2 linked regions of the Yarrowia lipolytica genome follow. The protein of the gene in region 1 interacts with the protein of each later gene in a pairwise test. Links are inferred from orthologs where the notes say so. Each region holds a gene or a part of one and is shown on either strand. Other genes may lie near its edges.

Evidence for each region. The genes of interacting proteins can lie anywhere in the genome.
Region 2: the proteins of YALI1_E27144g (region 1) and YALI1_D20473g interact in binary tests that used the Saccharomyces cerevisiae proteins (3 or more experiments, as listed by UniProt). The link is inferred for Yarrowia lipolytica from reciprocal best matches to the Saccharomyces cerevisiae genes FRS1 and FRS2.

What each region holds. Positions count from the first base shown.
Region 1 is NC_090774.1:2,712,114-2,716,303, reverse strand, and holds YALI1_E27144g (uncharacterized protein), read left to right. Parts: upstream 1-1,889; coding exon 1,890-3,671; downstream 3,672-4,190. Other genes in the region: YALI1_E27161g (uncharacterized protein), read left to right, coding at 176-787; YALI1_E27113g (uncharacterized protein), read right to left, coding at 3,933-4,190.
Region 2 is NC_090773.1:2,045,610-2,049,289, forward strand, and holds YALI1_D20473g (uncharacterized protein), read left to right. Parts: upstream 1-1,671; coding exon 1,672-3,147; downstream 3,148-3,680. Other genes in the region: YALI1_D20457g (uncharacterized protein), read right to left, coding at 1-89.

The sequences.
Region 1 (4,190 bases):
GTCCGAACCGTGCACACTCGCCAAACAAAAAGAAGACACTTTACATTTACGTATACACACACACACGCACACACTACACACTTTGGTTAGTTTTGCAAGGGGAAAAAAAGGAGATTTCTCACGCCCCAGCTTCTAAACAGACGACAAGAACCAAAAAACCGACACCGATACAAACATGCCAGCACAGCCCGCCGATTTGCGACGAAAGCTCGTCATTGTGGGAGACGGAGCCTGCGGAAAAACCTGTCTGCTCATTGTCTTTGCCAAGGGCACCTTCCCCGAGGTCTACGTGCCCACTGTGTTCGACAACTACGTGACCGACGTGGAGATTGACGGCCGACGAGTGGAGCTGGCCCTGTGGGATACCGCCGGCCAGGAAGACTACGACCGACTGCGACCCCTGTCGTACCCCGATTCCAACGTGATCATCATCTGCTTTGCCATCGACTCGCCCGACTCGCTGGACAACGTGCAGGAGAAGTGGATTTCCGAGGTGCTGCACTTTTGCCAGGGCGTGCCCATTCTGCTGGTCGGTTGCAAGGTGGACCTGCGAAACGACCCCAAGACCATCGAGGAGCTCAGAAGAACGTCCCAGCGACCGGTCACCACCGAGGAGGGAAACGCCGTGGCCCAGAAGATTGGCGCACTCAAGTACCTCGAGTGCTCTGCCCGAACCCACGACGGAGTGCGGGAGATCTTTGAGCACGCTACCCGAGCCGCTCTCATTGGCCCCAAGGGACGAGAGCCCACTTCAGGCAAGAAGAAGAAGAAGTGCGTGATCCTCTAAGCGCGCGCGGAAAAAGAAGATCGACTCGTACTGTGGGCACCGTTATACGCCACGAGCACGCGCCTACACGCCACGAGAACGCCCCTTACAAACTAGTTTTTATAACAATGGATGGTCATATTGAGTAATACTTCTGGTGGATGACTATCATAGCTGTAGTTCGCTTCACTGAAGGGGCTGACTGAATCTAAATATACACGGTATCATACGTACGAACACACGTTAATATGGGTACGATACTGTACACTCTTACAATTCTCGTAGAAGGGGGTTTTGGACGCCACATAGTGACAAGAAATGACGACCGAAAAAGAGCACCTACAATAGTACGATACCTGTACATACTGTACATGTACAAGTACCGGCTTGGTGAAATTTGGCACGTGCATGAACCAAACACAGCCCCTTTTCTATGACTGAAACACATCCTATCCATTAATACGTACAAGTACCGGTACTTGCACACGTACTTGCATTCATACAACAATTAGTTATATTGTGCTCATACTCAGGGCAGTAAAAAATACACTCGCCATGTTTACATATTAATGCACTTTACGCTCGCGTAATATCTCCTGGCCGAAGTTTCTTCTGAACGAGCATGTACTTGTATGTATATTTACCAGACTCAATACTGGCGATAGTACGAGAAGAACACCAACGACATTGCTCGTCAATCAATAGACGTCTATTAGTCATCAATATGAAGAACAAAGTCACTAAATCGCAGACACAACAGGTTCTACAAGCTACAGTGTCAGGTACGAGTACGATACCTCTCACTCCAACAACGAGACAATAGGCTAACTCCGATGAATGAAATGCACTTGATATAGGACCCGATTAGTCAGCATGGCATGCGAAATGCCGGGATATTTTTTCATGAGTAAGCCAGGTCGGTCACCTGATCATAATTGCCCAATTTCCGTCCCAATCACCTCCAATACCCCCGTTCAAACCGCTGTCTGATTCTCGCCCACATGCAGCACACTACTATGTCGGCCGGGTAACGAAAAATTAGGAGTCATTCTAGCTCGAGTGCATCAAGCACCACAGATCAGGTATCAGCTACCCTCGATTTTGAAACCCAGCCGCGACAACCATGCCTACCATCTCCGTGGACAAAGAGGACCTGTACAAGGCCATTGGAAAGACCTACACGACCGAAGAGTTCGACGAGCTCTGTTTCGAGTTTGGAATCGAGCTGGACGAGGACACCACCAACGACTGCGTTGGAGATGAGCGTCCCCAGCTCAAGATTGAGATCCCCGCCAACCGATACGACATGCTGTGCATCGAGGGTATTGCGCAGGCTCTCAATGTGTTCCTTGGCCGGGCCGAGGTGCCCGAGATCAAGCTTACTAAGCCCTCCAAGATGCTTGAGCTCACCATTCACCCCGAGACCGCGGAGGTTCGACCCTACGCTGCTGCCGCCATTCTGCGAAACGTGACCCTCGACCAGCGAAAGTACGAGTCCTTCATTTCTCTGCAGGAGAAGCTGCACTCCAACATTTGTCGTGGACGACAGCTGGTGGCCATTGGTACCCACGACTTTGACAAGATGGTCCAGGATGGCCCCTACGCTTACAAGGCCTTCAAGCCCAACGACCCCAAGATGTCCTTCGTGCCTCTCAACCAGACCAAGGAGCTCACCGGAGAGGGAGTCATGGAGTTCTATGAGAAGGACAAGAACCTCGGAAAGTTCCTCTACATTATCAAGGACGCCCCCGTCTACCCTTACATTGTCATGGGCGACGACAACACTGTCTGCTCTTTGCCCCCCATCATCAACTCCGACAAGACCAAGGTTTCTCCCGACACCAAGAACATTTTCATTGAGGTGACTGGAACCGATAAGACCCGTCTGGAGATTGTTCTGTCTCAGATTGTCGCTGCTTTCTCCGAGTACTGCGCCGAGCCCTTCACCGTCGAACCTCTCAAGGTTGTCTCCGAGCACAATGGTGAGACTCGAATCACCCCTGAGATGACACCTCGAGTCATGCAGGCCGAGATTCCCTACATCAAGTCGTGCTTGGGTCTGGATCTGTCTGCCGACGACATTATCAAGCTGCTGGCAAAGATGTCGCTTCAGGCTTCCAAGACTTCCAACCCCGATGTGCTTGACGTGGCTATCCCCCCCACCCGATCCGACATTCTGCATCAGTGCGATATCATGGAGGACGCTGCCATTGGTTACGGCTTCAACAGTCTGCCTAAGACCCTCCCCATGAAGTCTGCCACCGTCGGTAAGCCCCAGCTCATCAACAAGGTGTCCGACATTGTTCGACGAGAGGTGGCCATGAGCGGCTGGGCCGAGGTGATGCCTCTGACCCTGTGCTCGCACGACGAGAACTTTGCCTTCCTCAACCGAAAGGACGAGGGCCAGGCCGTGCACCTTGCCAACCCCAAGACACAGGAGTACCAGGTGATCCGAACCTCGCTTCTCCCCGGTATTCTCAAGACTATCAGAGAGAACAAGAAGCACTCGCTGCCCATTAAGGTGTTTGAGACCGGTGATGTTGTTTTCAAGGACGAGTCCCTCGAGCGAAAGTCGTACAACCAGCGAAACTTCGGAGCCGTCTACTCCGGAAAGACCTCCGGTTTCGAGACTGTGCACGGCCTTCTTGGCCGACTGATGCAGATGCTGCGAGTTTCGTGGATCGAGAACCCCAAGGAGTCCACTTCCCGAGGCTACTGGATCGAGGAGTCGCACTCTGAGACCTTCTTCCCCGGCCGAGGCGCCACCATCCACCTGCGAACCAAGGACGGAGCCGAGGCCAAGGTAATTGGAGAGATGGGCATTCTGCATCCCAATGTCCTGGCCAAGTTTGAGATTCCTTATGCTTCCTCCAGCATCGAGTTCAACATTGAACCTTTCATGTAGGGGGAGTATAGAGAGTAATAGATTATGATTGATGTACAGATTCACAAACAGACGAACCAAGCGAGGAAGGGGTGATAATCCAACCGAGTGTAGATGTGAGCGCATATGAGTCGTTGGTAGCTGGGGGGAAACCTACGATGTGCTACGATAGGTCATTATAAGGTGGTATAGAGATGTATTAAATAGCTATGTTACATTTTATTTGCTTCGCTTTGTCCAGCCTTGATTTTGGTGAAGACTGCAATTCTTTTCCGTTATGGTCTAGTTCTTCTTCATCTTCATCCAGGCCTCGAAGCCAATACCGCCAAAGACAGCGGCTACACCAGCCCACTGGCCGAGAGTCAGCCGGTGGTTGAACCAGACAACGGACAGCAGCATGGAAAACATCTTTCGGGTCACATTGACGGTCACCAGCACGACAGAACCAAACTTCTCGAGGGTCTGGAAGATGAAGACCTGGCCCACAGCTCCACAGAGACCGAACAGAACGATGTCTCGCATGATTTCGGGATGCAGTCG
Region 2 (3,680 bases), on another chromosome or scaffold:
CCCAGCGAGTCCGTGATGCCGTGAGAAGGTCGCGACGACGTGCCCTTGGGCCGCGCGTGCCGGTTCATCCGCACCAAAGTTCGAAACATGTTTTTGGTCAGTGGTGGAACTGCTAGTAGATCTAATGTCGTGTGCAAGATCCGCCCGAAACTTTAGCAGTTTACCAGTGAAATGGCGCAACATGTCTTGCCTGATTCTGATATAACTAGTGGTGTGTTTCTACCAGAAAGAATACTGCACGGCCAGGAGTCGTTTGCACTTTTTCCGATTCGCTCTGGGACTCTCCAAGACAGAACGTAGGACCTTTCACTCTGACCATATTCAAGTAACAATCAAAGTTCTAGTTGACTCTATCCAACTAACTAGTGAGAAATTGATAAAATGTACCTGGAGCAGTGAAAATGCACAGGGAGCTTTACTGCACAAATATACAAGAATTGTCCAGACAAAAATATCTGGCGGTACGTTTACTGTACATCACAGTATAACTATGGGTTTATTAGTCAGCCTAACTCGCTTCTCATATCAGTCTCCCATCCCGTCGTCACGTGACTAAATCTTTCAATTTAGTAATAAAAAAATAAAACCTTTTTACTTTCAAAACCAACTGCGACAAGTGCATATGGAAAAAAAAATACATGCGCCTTGAGAGGAGTTGCAGAGCAAAACAAAAAAAAAGGGGATAGGGGGAAAAAGAATGCCATCACCCAGAATCGAACTGAGGTTTCCACGGCCACAACGTGGTGTACTAACCACTATACTATGATGGCTGGCGATAAAATGTTGAAGTTCTTGGGACACTAGTGAGAAACCTCCAGGTCACGTGTCCGGCGATTTCAACTGTGATTTGTGGGTGATTGAGGGTATTTACTAGAACTAAAGGGTCTTTATGGGTGGTTTTTTGGACTGTGTAATCTACTGGTCTTGTTTTTTTATTGATATTTCGTCCGGATCATAGAGCAATGGAGAACGTCTTGGTGGAGTGCCCTGAGTAGGTGCAGAAAGCTTGAGCAGTGATTTGAGAGAGTAGTAAAACCGAAAGAAATGTTTTGAAGAGTTTCTAAGGATTTATGGAAACTGTAAAATGTCTAGAAATTTTTCTATGTTTTCTAGTTGGAGTCCGTTCTTTTTTTTTTTTTTTTTTTTTCTATTTTTTTTTTTATTTTTTGTATTTTTTTTTTTTTTCATTTCCTCATTTTTATTTCATTTCTCATTTTTATTTAGTGATCCAGGCTGCACCTGATTCCGAGCATTCAAAGTACTTATTTTTGCACCAATTTTTTTGCAACTTGGTTTAGACGGAGAATTGGTGTTGTTTCCCGGTTATTTTTTGATCTAAAATCGTTCATATTCGCCCCATAATGGACTCTTCACAGTCAGTATCAAATTTTGACGATATGACTGAGTCAGCTTATGGTTAAAAAGATCTGAGACTGACTCATCTGAATCAGAACTTGAAAACAGGACAATTTCAAAAAGGGGAAAAATAAAGACAAAATGAAATCAGAAATCAGAATCGGTCAGGTTCTCAAATATCGGGTTTTCAGCCCAATTGACACACTCTTTAAAAGTGTTTGGAGCGCAGGTTGAACTGCGTCTCTCCACACCACTCCCGGGTAACCAGGATTAGCTCCTGAAAAACTCTGGGAGTATCTGTCACCACCAAACACCATGTCTGATCTCACGACCACAGTGCTGAAAACGCTTGCCGAGGGCCCCATCGCTGACTCGCGGGTGGCCTTCCCCGCCCATACCACCGCCCAGTTGCAGGGCACGCTGCAGAGTCTTGCCGGCCGAGAAATGGTGACCTACAAGGCCGTGGAGGAGGACAAGTGGGAGCTTACTGAGGAGGGCAAGGAGATTGTGTCGCTGGGCTCGCACGAGTACCGCCTCTATGAGGAGGTGTGCAAGGGTCTGGAGGGTTTGGAGCTGGCTGACGTGGCATCCAAGCTGGGAGCGTCGGGCAAAATTGGCCAGCAGCGGGCTTTCAAGAACGGCTGGGTCAAGAAGGAGGGCTCCAAGCTGATCAAGAGCAGCGACAGCGTGACTGACAAGACCGCCGAGGATCTTAAGACCATTGAGTCCACGGGCACCCTGGGAGACGCCAAGGAGCTGCAAGATCTTAAGAAGCGAAAGCTGATCACTAAGGTCAAGCAGGTGTGGTTTGAGATTGAAAAGGGCCCCGAGTTTGCGCTTACCGTCAAGGAGTACGCCACCGACGTGACAACCGACATGATCCAGAGCGGCGCCTGGAAGGACGCGGCATTCAAGCCCTACAACTTTGCCGCCGAGGGAGTCCAGCCCCAGTCCGGAGCGTTCCATCCTCTCAACAAGGTGCGGGAGGAGTTCCGACAGATTTTCTTCTCGCTGGGCTTCTCCGAAATGCCCACCAACCAGTACGTGGACTCTGGGTTCTGGAACTTTGACACGCTGTTTGTGCCCCAGAAGCACCCCGCACGAGACCTCCAGGACACCTTCTACGTCAAGGATCCCAAGGAGGCGGGTCTCCCCGAAGACATGGAGTACTGGAACAATGTCAAGAAGGTTCACGAGGACGGAGCCTACGGCTCCATCGGATACCGGTACGACTGGAAGCCTGAGGAGGCCCAGAAGCTAGTGCTGCGAACCCACACCACTGCGGTGTCGGCCAAGATGCTGCACCAGCTCGCCAAGGACCCCAAGCCTTCCAAGCTCTTTTCCATTGACCGAGTGTTCCGAAACGAGGCTGTGGATGCCACCCATCTGGCTGAGTTCCATCAGGTGGAGGGAGTGGTTGCCGACTACAACCTGACTCTCGGAGACCTGATTGGCTTCATGCAGATGTTCTTTTCGCAGATGGGCGTCAAGCAGCTGCGGTTCAAGCCCGCCTACAACCCCTACACCGAGCCGTCGCTGGAGATTTTCTCCTGGCACGAGGGTCTCGGCAAGTGGGTCGAAATTGGAAACTCAGGTATGTTCCGACCGGAAATGCTGGAGGCCATGGGTCTGCCCAAGGACCTGCGAGTTCACGGCTGGGGTCTATCGCTGGAGCGACCCACTATGATCAAGTATGGCGTCTCAAACATTCGAGAGCTGCTCGGTCATAAGGTATCTCTGGACTTTGTGGAGAACAACCCTGCTGTGCGATTGGATGAGGGTCTCAACTAAGTGCGGAGAAGAAGAGAGCAAGGGTTGATGGTATCGTGATGCAACGACCATGTTGCGTTCGATGAAGGATAGGAGAAGTAATAGATGTTAGATTGAACGAGGTAGCTGGGTGTGTTTCGTTGGATGTAGGGTGGTAATAGGCTGAGAAATGTGCTGGAGACATTCGGACCGAATGAACATCCCCGAGCTGTTCGAGATTTCAGATGATCTAGTACTGATCTGATTGAGACAGAATGGTTACTCGTGCTTGTAATGATGACCATGAACTACGCCGCCAGTTGTGTCTCGAAAAGACCACCAAAAATCACTTGGTGTAGCCTCGAAGTACACTGTCACACTCGCCTGGTCAGGAGGAATCCAACGGTACCATTTTCAGGTCTCTACGGCGTTTATCCAGAGATTTGAGTCCTTTTGTATTTGGGTCTAACATCACCACTTCACCACTTGGATCCACTTGGACCTACATTACCACTTTGTCGCCAGAGGTACCATTGCACTCATAATGGTATCATATCTATCTTGTCAGAGTCATG